Xenopus tropicalis: one gene and its partner. The protein of the gene in region 1 purifies or fractionates together with the protein of each later gene. This does not show direct contact. Links are inferred from orthologs where the notes say so. Each region holds a gene or a part of one and is shown on either strand. Other genes may lie near its edges.

Evidence for each region. The genes of interacting proteins can lie anywhere in the genome.
Region 2: the proteins of smad4.1 (region 1) and smurf2 purify together in Homo sapiens (affinity purification with western blotting; 3 studies listed by BioGRID). This does not show direct contact. The link is inferred for Xenopus tropicalis from reciprocal best matches to the Homo sapiens genes SMAD4 and SMURF2.

What each region holds. Positions count from the first base shown.
Region 1 is NC_030677.2:205,055,907-205,062,157, forward strand, and holds the start of smad4.1 (mothers against decapentaplegic homolog 4), read left to right. Parts: upstream 1-2,106; 5' UTR 2,107-2,269; intron 2,270-6,251. UniProt on the Homo sapiens protein: In muscle physiology, plays a central role in the balance between atrophy and hypertrophy. When recruited by MSTN, promotes atrophy response via phosphorylated SMAD2/4.
Region 2 is NC_030686.2:51,424,266-51,430,805, reverse strand, and holds the start of smurf2 (E3 ubiquitin-protein ligase SMURF2), read right to left. Parts: upstream 3,786-6,540; 5' UTR 3,546-3,785; coding exon 3,494-3,545; intron 1-3,493. UniProt on the Homo sapiens protein: E3 ubiquitin-protein ligase which accepts ubiquitin from an E2 ubiquitin-conjugating enzyme in the form of a thioester and then directly transfers the ubiquitin to targeted substrates.

The sequences.
Region 1 (6,251 bases):
GTCAGGGGGCCATATAGGTGCCATGTACAGGGGCTATATTCTCTGCAGTCAGGGGGCCATATAGGTGCCATGTACAGGGGCTATATTCTCTGCAGTCAGGGGCCCATATAGGTGCCATGTACAGGGGCTATATTCTCTGCAGTCAGGGGCCATATAGGTGCCATGTACAGGGGCTATATTCTCTGCAGTCAGGGGCCCATATAGATGCCATGTACAGGGGCTATATTCTCTGCAGTCAGGGGCCCATATAGGTGCCATGTACAGGGGCTATATTCTCTGCAGTCAGGGGCCCATATAGGTGCCATGTACAGGGGCTATATTCTCTGCAGTCAGGGGGCCCATATAGGTGCCATGTACAGGGGCTATATTCTCTGCAGTCAGGGGCCCATATAGGTGCCATGTACAGGGGCTATATTCTCTGCAGTCAGGGGCCCATATAGGTGCCATGTACAGGGGCTATATTCTCTGCAGTCAGGGGGCCCATATAGGTGCCATGTACAGGGGCTATATTCTCTGCAGTCAGGGGCCCATATAGGTGCCATGTACAGGGGCTATATTCTCTGCAGTCAGGGGGCCATATAGGTGCCATGTACAGGGGCTATATTCTCTGCAGTCAGGGGGCCCATATAGGTGCCATGTACAGGGGCTATATTCTCTGCAGTCAGGGGCCCATATAGGTGCCATGTACAGGGGCTATATTCTCTGCAATCAGGGGGCCATATAGGTGCCATGTACAGGGGCTTTATTCTCTGCAGTCAGGGGCCCATATAGGTGCCATGTACAGGGGCTATATTCTCTGCAGTCAGGGGCCCATATAGGTGCCATGTACAGGGGCTATATTCTCTGCAGTCAGGGGCCCATATAGGTGCCATGTACAGGGGCTATATTCTCTGCAGTCAGGGGCCCATATAGGTGCCATGTACAGGGGCTATATTCTCTGCAGTCAGGGGGCCATATAGGTGCCATGTACAGGGGCTATATTCTCTGCAGTCAGGGGGCCCATATAGGTGCCATGTACAGGGGCTATATTCTCTGCAGTCAGGGGCCCATATAGGTGCCATGTACAGGGGCTATATTCTCTGCAGTCAGGGGCCCATATAGGTGCCATGTACAGGGGCTATATTCTCTGCAGTCAGGGGGCCATATAGGTGCCATGTACAGGGGCTATATTCTCTGCAGTCAGGGGGCCCATATAGGTGCCATGTACAGGGGCTATATTCTCTGCAGTCAGGGGCCCATATAGGTGCCATGTACAGGGGCTATATTCTCTGCAGTCAGGGGGCCATATAGGTGCCATGTACAGGGGCTATATTCTCTGCAGTCAGGGGGCCCATATAGGTGCCATGTACAGGGGCTATATTCTCTGCAGTCAGGGGCCCATATAGGTGCCATGTACAGGGGCTATATTCTCTGCAATCAGGGGGCCATATAGGTGCCATGTACAGGGGCTTTATTCTCTGCAGTCAGGGGCCCATATAGGTGCCATGTACAGGGGCTATATTCTCTGCAGTCAGGGGCCCATATAGGTGCCATGTACAGGGGCTATATTCTCTGCAGTCAGGGGCCCATATAGGTGCCATGTACAGGGGCTATATTCTCTGCAGTCAGGGGGCCATATAGGTGCCATGTACAGGGGCTATATTCTCTGCAGTCAGGGGCCCCATATAGGTACCATGTACATAGAAGCTTTTTGTTTTTTTAAGGGCCCCATTTTACAGGGTTCATCACCTTTGGGGCCCAGGTGACTGGAGGGTTAATACTTGAAGCCGCATGATTACTTTTGACGGCCCTGGCTGCTGGTTTAGGATTGGCTGCTGCTGTACTGGCACTGTGAGACTAAAGCAAAGGGTTAATAATATAAATAAAAGGCAGAGGCTTTCCCAAAATCAAGCAGCAGGCCTGGGAGCGTAACCAGCCCCGTTAGCAGAAGCAATCCAGTAAGCAGGGCTTCTTCCAGAATGCAGCACTACTGCGCTAGTAAGGCCCCGCCCACAGACTGGCAATTCCGCCCTGTTCTAATACAGCCACGCCTCTTTCCCTAACTAGCCTTTTCCTTTCTCCACGCTTCCCCGCCTCCTCCTTCCCGCTCCATGCCGGCCCCGCCCACCCCCTGCTCAGTGGCCCGGATGTAGGCTGGATCGCTGCTGCTGTTGCTGCTGGTACGCAGGCGCGGCCCGTATCTGGGGGTTCTTGTTGTCCGCGGCCTGGGCCGCTGTGGAGCGGGCGGGGGGTGCCGGAAGAAACGGAGCTTTTCTTCACTTCGAATTCGGTAAGGAAATAGGCGGGAAGGAAGGGGTTGCTCCGGGCCTGGGCTGGGAGTGTAGTTCCCAGGCCGCCCGGGGATTAGCTGCCTTGCCGCTCATGGAGAGGGAGGGGACGGGCTGAGGCTCCGGGGCACAAACACTGGAGGCGGTGAGGCGCTTGCCTATCTTACGGGCGCCTTTAAAGCTCCTCTTTTCCCATAGGGGCCTATGGGAGTTACGGTTTGTCAGCTCTTACACATATCCTGTGCGGCTATTGTTGTTGCAGGGGATGATGGGAGTTGTAGTTCAGTAAAGACAGAGAAGCCCAAACCCTTATAGTGGTTTCCTAATTCACCTCTTAGAGGTTGGGGATTTGATTGATTGTAAGCTCCCTGGCTGAGGCTGATATGTACAGGAGGGTTTATTGACCCCTAATGGTTCCCAATAACCATGGGGTTATTTTATTGCTACTAGGGATGGGCAGTGGCAGGTAGGGATGGTCAAACCGCCTCTCCTAATGCTTTCCAATGGGTAGAACAGGAGACACAGGGAGAATATACAAATATATATATATAATGCCCTGACTGGGATCGAACCTACAACCCCAACACTTACCCCAGTGATTACTGGACAATACTGCTGTAGGACTCGGTAGCTGGGGCACAGAGAGAGGTTATAGGAATATCTGAGCCTAGCTCCCCCCGCCCATAAACCAGGCCACTGTGGGCTGAAAGGGACTGGCAGGTTTAGGTTTACTTCCCCTTTAAAGAGAATAGTAAGCCTCTAGGAAACATTGCTTCCTTTCAACGCTCTTATGGCATAGGGCTGCTGCCTAGCAACTAGTCATATGTTCCAATGTTAGACTGGATTGTAACTAGGAGTAGTTTTATTTGGCGGATGAGGCCTCTTGCAACAATGTAGCAGAAGTTGATTTCCTCCAGATCTATCTGCTGGCTTCTTCTACATTATTGTTATTAAAGATTATCATAAGGGATAATGTACCCCCTACTGTAAATGATAAGGATATTAGCAGTCACTGAGGGGTTATGTGCCCATATAAAGGCACAAGGCTGCAGGCTGAGTTATACAGGGAACTCTGAGTATCACTCATGTATTATAAGGGATAATGTACCCCCTACTGTAAATGATAAGGATATTAGCAGTCACTGAGGGGTTCTGTGCCCATATAAAGGCACAAGGCTGCAGGCTGAGTTATACAGGGAACTCTGAGTATCACTCATGTATTATAAGGGATAATGTACCCCCTACTGTAAATGATAAGGATATTAGCAGTCACTGAGGGGTTCTGTGCCCATATAAAGGCACAAGGCTGCAGGCTGAGTTATACAGGGAACTCTGAGTATCACTCATGTATTATAAGGGATAATGTACCCCCTACTGTAAATGATAAGGATATGAGCAGTCACTGAGGGGCTCTGTGCCCATATAAAGGCACAAGGCTGCAGGCTGAGTTATACAGGGAACTCTGAGTATCACTCATGTATTATAAGGGATAATGTACCCCCTACTGTAAATGATAAGGATATTAGAAGTCACTGAGGGGTTCTGTGCCCATATACATCGAGCCAAATGCAAAAAAAGACATATAGTGTCACTGTGTCGGTGAACACCAAACCATTGTCAGTTGGCAGATCGATGGGGATGTTGGGCTCACAGGTGGTGCGGCTGCATTGTGCAACCATAAAGCAGAGCAGCTGGGGGTTAAGCCGTGCAGGCACCTTAATGTCTCTGCGCATGAAGCGATGTGATTGGTGGTTCTGATTCCGTACACAATGTTCCTTTGCTGAAATTCATGATCCAGTTCCCCCCCCTTCTGTGAAACATTATATCTGATGCACGGATTAAGCGCCGGGGCTCAAGCTGCTTCTTTTAACAGTCGTTGAGGAGACACCATCAAGGCATATTATTAAATACAGCCTCATTCTTAGCATGCCAGCCGGCGGGCCGCTATCCCATCTACCATCATTGGATTATACACAAGCACTATACTGGGCTGGCAGATTGCTCTGAGCCTCCGTGCTGTACTGATATTAGTACCGGTGTATGCAAGATATCTCCGCCTGGTGTCTGCAATTCTTCTCTATTATTCATACTCTATGCCCTAGGGGGGTTACACAGTTCTGTATCCTTCTACCAGAACAGATCTGTGCATTTAAGTGACAAGCACATATCAGTGTAAAGCTGGGAATTAGGGATGCACCGAATCCATTTGGCTGAATAACGAACAGATTGCTAATTAGGTTACGGAAGGGTTACATCTTCATTAGCAAATGCTTATTAGGGTACGGAAGGGTTACATTTTCAACTTCCGTGTTTACGTGACAAAAAGTCACGTGATTTTTTGAATTTGGTTCGTCCAGGAGCATGGATTCGGCCGAAAGCAAATCCCGAACTGAATCCTGGATTCGGTGCAGCCCTACTGGGAATACACGTAGAATCTGTAATGGTCTGAACATTTTGGCTCCCAGTCCAACAACCAAACCATAATAGGGGCCCAACAGGATTCTGTAATGTGGTGGCCAAACTGGATCCAGATATCAGTCAGACAGGCCAGCAGGAGGGCTCCATATATTGGCTAATATGGGGCTGACTTGATCTGGAGGGACTAAAGGTGGCCATACACAGTAAGATCTGCTCACTTGGTGAGGTCGCCAAGCGAGCGGATCTTCTCCCAATATCCCCACCTACGGGTGGGTGATATCGGGCTAATTTGGTCATTTGGCCCTGGGGCCAAACGATCGAATTAGAATGACGGGTATAGGCGCAGTCAGTTCAGGGACCGCATCAACGAGCCGATGCAGTCCCCGGTCCAACTAAATTTTTAAACCTGCCTGATTTTAGGCCAGATATCGGTTGGGCAGGCCAGTCGGTAGTGCCCATACACGGGCCGATAAGCTGTCAAGTCAGTCTAAGGGACTGATATCGGCAGCTAGAATTGGCCCGTGTATGGCCACCTTAAGATCTGCTTTGTTGGTGAGGTCGCCAAACGAGCAGATCTTTTCCCAATTTTCTCCCGATATGCCAACCTAAGGTAGGAGATATTGGGCTAAATTGATCCTTTGGGGGGTATATGGGATGTCGGACCGAGGACTGCATCAATGAGCCCCTATCCGACGGGAAAATCAAGATCTGTTGGGGTAGGCCCGTGGGGGGTGCCCATACTCAGGTAGATAAGCTGCAGTATTTGTCTGAAGGACCCAAATCAGCAGCTGAAATCTGCCCCGTAAGGTAGCTGCTTTTATTGGTTACGTTATGAAAGAACGGAAGGACAAATGCTTCAAAGGAACTTGGGCACATACATTTGGTTGAATTATAGGTAGTAGTTTGTCTTTCATAGGGCTGCTGTCTGAAATAAATTGTACAGCAGCTGTACACCCTAATAGTAATTTAAAAAAAATTAGTTTATTAAGGATTTTAGTTGCCCGTGATAACCATCCGTGCCATGGATTGATGGATCCCTTCCTTTGCCTTTTTTGTGTGTAAAGTAATGGTGTTTTGACAGCACAGGCCTGGGGACGGCTATCGGAAGTGACATGTGGCTGTGATGGTCACATCAGGCTCCCTTAGGGCTCTGCGCTCCAGAATCCATTAAGGTATCAGATTCCGCAAAAGGTTTATATTTCTCTCCTTTACTGACACTGAGTTCTTCATTAGTGACAATGGAGTTTTTATATTGATCCGTATCTGGTGGTGCCAGAAGGGACCCATGGCAGTCTGAGTATATGGCACCCACCCCCTGGCAAAGAGACTCTTCTGATCCAGATGCGCTCTCCCTTTGCACGAACGCTTTGCTGACTCAAAACAGTTTCCTCTTCTGTTATTTTTGGCATAGACCAGGCGGCAGAATTTTCCATGTGTGTTCGGTTTGTTTACAGATGGGAGTGCGAGAAGGTGAAGAATCCACGCACATCTCTGTGAGATTGTTTATCTGCCAGGGGCATGCTTATGGGCATATAGCCCCCTGGAACCCTGGGGTATTATAGGGAA
Region 2 (6,540 bases), on another chromosome or scaffold:
GTACCATAATGGGTCAGAACAACATGCACATCCCGGTACCTGGCCTTACACAGTACCATAATGGGTCAGAACAACATGCACATCCCGGTACCTGGCCTTACACAGTACCATAATGGGTCAGAACAACATGCACATCCCGGTACCTGGCCTTACACAGTACCATAATGGGTCAGAACAACATGCACATCCCGGTACCTGGCCTTACACAGTACCATAATGGGTCAGAACAACATGCACATCCCGGTACCTGGCCTTACACAGTACCATAATGGGTCAGAACAACATGCACATCCCGGTACCTGGCCTTACACAGTACCATAATGGGTCAGAACAACATGCACATCCCGGTACCTGGCCTTACACAGTACCATAATGGGTCAGAACAACATGCACATCCCGGTACCTGGCCTTACACAGTACCATAATGGGTCAGAACAACATGCACACCCCGGTACCTGGCCTTACACAGTACCATAATGGGTCAGAACAACATGCACACCCCGGTACCTGGCCTTACACAGTACCATAATGGGTCAGAACAACATGCACACCCCGGTACCTGGCCTTACACAGTACCATAATGGGTCAGAACACATGCACACCCCGGTACCTGGCCTTACACAGTACCATAATGGGTCAGAACAACATGCACATCCCGGTACCTGGCCTTACACAGTACCATAATGGGTCAGAACAACATGCACACCCCGGTACCTGGCCTTACACAGTACCATAATGGGTCAGAACAACATGCACACCCCGGTACCTGGCCTTACACAGTACCATAATGGGTCAGAACAACATGCACATCCCGGTACCTGGCCTTACACAGTACCATAATGGGTCAGAACAACATGCACATCCCGGTACCTGGCCTTACACAGTACCATAATGGGTCAGAACAACATGCACATCCCGGTACCTGGCCATGGAATCTGCAGCTGGGACCGGCCCAGAGGAACACGCTGACAAAGCAGGTCATCACTGCATTTATAGCATTGACATTCCCAGCCATAATGACTTTATAACGCCGGTCTGTCAGGGGGGAAACCTGGGGCTACGCCGGTCTGTCAGGGGGGAAACCTGGGGCTACGCCGGTCTGTCAGGGGGGAAACCTGGGGCTACGCCGGTCTGTCAGGGGGGAAACCTGGGGCTACGCCGGTCTGTCAGGGGGGAAACCTGGGGGCTACGCCGGTCTGTCAGGGGGGAAACCTGGGGCTACGCCGGTCTGTCAGGGGGGAAACCTGGGGCTACGCCGGTCTGTCAGGGGGGAAACCTGGGGCTACGCCGGTCTGTCAGGGGCGAAACCTGGGGCTACGCCGGTCTGTCAGGGGGGAAACCTGGGGCTACGCCGGTCTGTCAGGGGGGAAACCTGGGGCTACGCCGGTCTGTCAGGGGCGAAACCTGGGGCTACGCCGGTCTGTCAGGGGGGAAACCTGGGGCTACGCCGGTCTGTCAGGGGGGAAACCTGGGGCTACGCCGGTCTGTCAGGGGGGAAACCTGGGGCTACGCCGGTCTGTCAGGGGGGAAACCTGGGGCTACGCCGGTCTGTCAGGGGCGAAACCTGGGGCTACGCCGGTCTGTCAGGGGCGAAACCTGGGGCTACGCCGGTCTGTCAGGGGGGAAACCTGGGGCTACGCCGGTCTGTCAGGGGCGAAACCTGGGGCTACGCCGGTCTGTCAGGGGCGAAACCTGGGGCTACGCCGGTCTGTCAGGGGCGAAACCTGGGGCTACGCCGGTCTGTCAGGGGGGAAACCTGGGGCTACGCCGGTCTGTCAGGGGGACATGGGCCTATGGGCACAACTCTATGGCTTCTGTATGTTTGCCTATAGGCACAACTCTATGGCATCTGTATGTCTGCCTATGGGCACAACTCTATGGCTTCTGTATGTCTGCCTATGGGCACAACTCTATGGTATCTGTATGTCTGCCTATGGGCACAACTCTATGGTATCTGTATGTCTGCCTATAGGCACAACTCTATGGCATCTGTATGTCTGCCTATGGGCACAACTCTATGGTATCTGTATGTCTGCCTATAGGCACAACTCTATGGCTTCTGTATGTCTGCCTATAGGCACAATTCTATGGCTTCTGTATGTCTGCCTATGGGCACAACTCTATGGTATCTGTATGTCTGCCTATGGGCACAACTCTATGGTTTCTGTATAAATGCTCAGAAGGAAACTGCCAGTGTGAATGACTCCATAAGAAACCATGATTCATATTCCATGTACTCTCTCACACTCAGCTGCACTTGTACTGACAATGCAGGGCACCTAGGCCAGAGGCCCACATATTGTGAAACTACATCTCCCAGCATTCAGTGTGAGCAAAAGGCAACCCGAACAACAGGGTTCACAATTAAAGGACAATGCCAGACAAGGCCAATACTCACTACCATGGATGCCACTGTAAATCTCTGCATGCCAAGCCATTGTGGGCATTTCCTATGGTTAGAGTGGGTACCCATGATTGCTTTTAATACCAGCCCCCCTGTAGTCAGTGAGGAAAGGGGGGCCCATATGGTAAGGACTTAGTAATACTGCTTTTTGAATGCCTAGGCAACCAGCTGTTAAAGAACTACAAATCCCAGCATCCTCTTCAAAGATGAGTTAAAGGGCAAATAAGGTCCAGCCAGAGTTCCAGTAGCCAAGGGTGGCAGTGCCCAGGGCAGATCCATTACATACCCCAATGACCACTCCAGATTTCACGCAAAATACAGTAAAATGCCATTAAAGGACTAAAACTTATTTCACAATCGAGATGCAACTCAGACACATTGGGGCTGAGGAGCCATGTTGGTACCTTGAGCAGGGGCAGAATCCAAAGAGCAGCAATCCTAGTTGCCCCAAATGCACATTAGCCCAGAAAGGGGATTGCGAAGCCTTGAAGGAAGATGGTTGCAGCCCCCAGGCCTGGCCGATAGGGGAGGGGTTGGGCATTTGGGGTTTATTTTAGGGTTCCTGGCGCCCCCACAAGCCTACACAAGTGACTTCTTCCCTCTAATAAGTACCCCCTATACAGGGGCAAGTGGCGCAGGAATCAGGCACATACATGAGCTAACTGCCCCATACAGGGGTACAAGCGCCAGACTCATATAAACTCTATTAATTAGGTCTCGTTATTGCCCTGTAATTAGGGGGCGCACTCACAGCCTGGGCAGGACCCCAATAAGCACAGGGTGTGACCCCAGAAGCACCCAGGGCCCCAAACCAACTAGTTACCCCCACCTAGGGCAAGTAATCCTGCCTCAAAGGGCAATTGCTCAGCTCCAGGCCAAGCCAGAGGGGCCCCTGGGCTCAATGGAACATGCAGGTTAGGCCTGAGGGGTAACTAACGGCAGGAAGTAGCTGGGGTGAATATTACCCTACTTGCCCCCGGAACTCATGACAAACGCACGGAATGCTGGGAAGCACCGGGCCCAACTTGTTGTTGTGATCCCTCCCACCCTGAGCCTTCTGCCCCACGCAGGGGTATCGGGCCTACTCACCGGTCAGTCGCAGCTTCACCGGCCCGTTCCGCCGGGATCCCTGGTTAGACATGGCCCCGGGGAGTCCCACAGCAAGGCTAGGCCCGGGCCGCGGCCTGGAGTACGGAGGGAGGGCGGGAGAGTCAGGCGGACTGTGGGGGCCCCGAGTTACCGACTAGCGCCATCAGCCTGGGGCAGAGCGGAGACAGCACTGAGCCACACGGGCCGGGGGAGCCACTCACAGCCCGGGGAGGAGGCACCGGGGAACAGGGGCGGGGCACAGGCGGGAATGGGGCGGAGACACGGACACTTGTGGGAGGAGACTGCAAGTAGCGGGAGGCAGGAATGTGGGCGGGGCCGGACACTGTGAGCGACGCACAGTCTGAGACTCACCATTACCCAGAGTTCCTCACTGAGAGACACTCACTGAGAGACACTCACACCATTACCCAGAGTCACTCACTGAGAGACACTCACTGAGAGACACTCACTGAGAGACACTCACACCATTACCCAGAGTTCCTCACTGAGAGACACTCACACCATTACCCAGAGTCACTCACTGAGAGACACTCACACCATTACCCAGAGTTCCTCACTGAGAGACACTCACTGAGAGACACTCACTGAGAGACAGTCACACCATTACCCAGAGTCACTCACTGAGAGACACTCACACCATTACCCAGAGTTCCTCACTGAGAGACACTCACACCATTACCCAGAGTTCCTCACTGAGAGACACTCACACCATTACCCAGAGTTCCTCACTGAGAGACACTCACACCATTACCCAGAGTTCCTCACTGAGAGACACTCACTGAGAGACAGTCACAACCATTACCCAGAGTTCCTCACTGAGAGACACTCACCCCATTACCCAGAGTTCCTCACTGAGAGACACTCACTGAGAGACACTCACACCATTACCCAGAGACACTCACTGAGAGACAGTCACACCATTACCCAGAGTTCCTCACTGAGAGACACTCACACCATTACCCAGAGTTCCTCACTGAGAGACACTCACTGGGAGACAGTCACACCATTACCCAGAGTTCCTCACTGAGAGACACTCACCCCATTACCCAGAGTTCCTCACTGAGAGACACTCACCCCATTACCCAGAGTCACTCACTGAGAGACACTCACTGAGAGACACTCACACCATTACCCAGAGTCACTCACTGAGAGACACTCACTGAGAGACACTCACACCATTACCCAGAGTCACTCACTGAGAGACACTCACTGAGAGACAGTCACACCATTACCCAGAGTTCCTCACTGAGAGACACTCACACCATTACCCAGAGTCACTCACTGAGAGACAGTCACACCATTACCCAGAGTCACTCACTGAGAGACAGTCACACCATTACCCAGAGTCACTCACTGAGAGACAGTCACACCATTACCCAGAGTCCCTCACTGAGAGACACTCACTGAGAGACAGTCACACCATTACCCAGAGTCCCTCACTGAGAGACACTCACTGAGAGACAGTCACACCATTACCCAGAGTCACTCACTGAGAGACACTCACTGAGAGACACTCACTGAGAGACACTCACACCATTACCCAGAGACACTCACTGAGAGACACTCACTGAGAGACACTCACACCATTACCCAGAGTCACTCACTGAGAGACACTCACTGAGAGACACTCACACCATTACCCAGAGTCACTCACTGAGAGACACTCACTGAGAGACACTCACACCATTATCCAGAGTTCCTCACTGAGAGACACTCACTGAGAGACACTCACACCATTACCCAGAGTCCCTCACTGAGAGACACTCACTGAGAGACAGTCACACCATTACCCAGAGTCACTCACTGAGAGACACTCACTGAGAGACAGTCACACCATTACCCAGAGTCACTCACTGAGAGACAGTCACACCATTACCCAGAGACACTCACTGAGAGACACTCACACCATTACCCAGAGTCCCTCACTGAGAGACAGTCACACCATTACCCAGAGTCACTCACTGAGAGACAGTCACACCATTACCCAGAGTCACTCACTGAGAGACAGTCACACCATTACCAGAGTCACTCACTGAGAGACACTCACTGAGAGACAGTCACACCATTACCCAGAGTCACTCACTGAGAGACAGTCACACCATTACCCAGAGTCACTCACTGAGAGACACTCACTGAGGAGACACTCACCCCATTACCCAGAGTCACTCACTGAGAGACAGTCACCCCATTACCAGAGTCACTCACTGAGAGACACTCACTGAGAGACAGTCACACCATTACCCAGAGTCACTCACTGAGAGACAGTCACACCATTACCCAGAGTCACTCACTGAGAGACACTCACTGAGAGACACTCACACCATTACCCAGAGTTCCTCACTGAGAGACACTCACACCATTACCCAGAGTCACTCACTGAGAGACACTCACACCATTACCCAGAGTCACTCACTGAGAGACACTCACACCATTACCCAGAGTTCCTCACTGAGAGACACTCACACCATTACCCAGAGACACTCACTGAGAGACAGTCACACCATTACCCAGAGTCACTCACTGAGAGACATTCACACCATTACCCCAGAGTCACTCACTGAGAGACACTCACTGAGAGACAGTCACACCATTACCAGAGTCACTCACTGAGAGACACTCACTGAGAGACACTCACACCATTACCCAGAGTTCCTCACTGAGAGACACTCACTGAGAGACAGTCACACCATTACCAGAGTTCCTCACTGAGAGACACTCACACCATTACCCAGAGTTCCTCACTGAGAGACACTCACTGAGAGACAGTCACACCATTACCCAGAGTTCCTCACTGAGAGACACTCACACCATTACCCAGAGTTCCTCACTGAGAGACACTCACACCATTACCCAGAGTCACTCACTGAGAGACACTCACACCATTACCCAGAGTCACTCACTGAGAGACAGTCACACCATTACCCAGAGTCACTCACTGAGAGACACTCACACCATTACCCCAGAGTCACTCACTGAGAGACAGTCACACCATTACCCAGAGTCACTCACTGAGAGACACTCACACC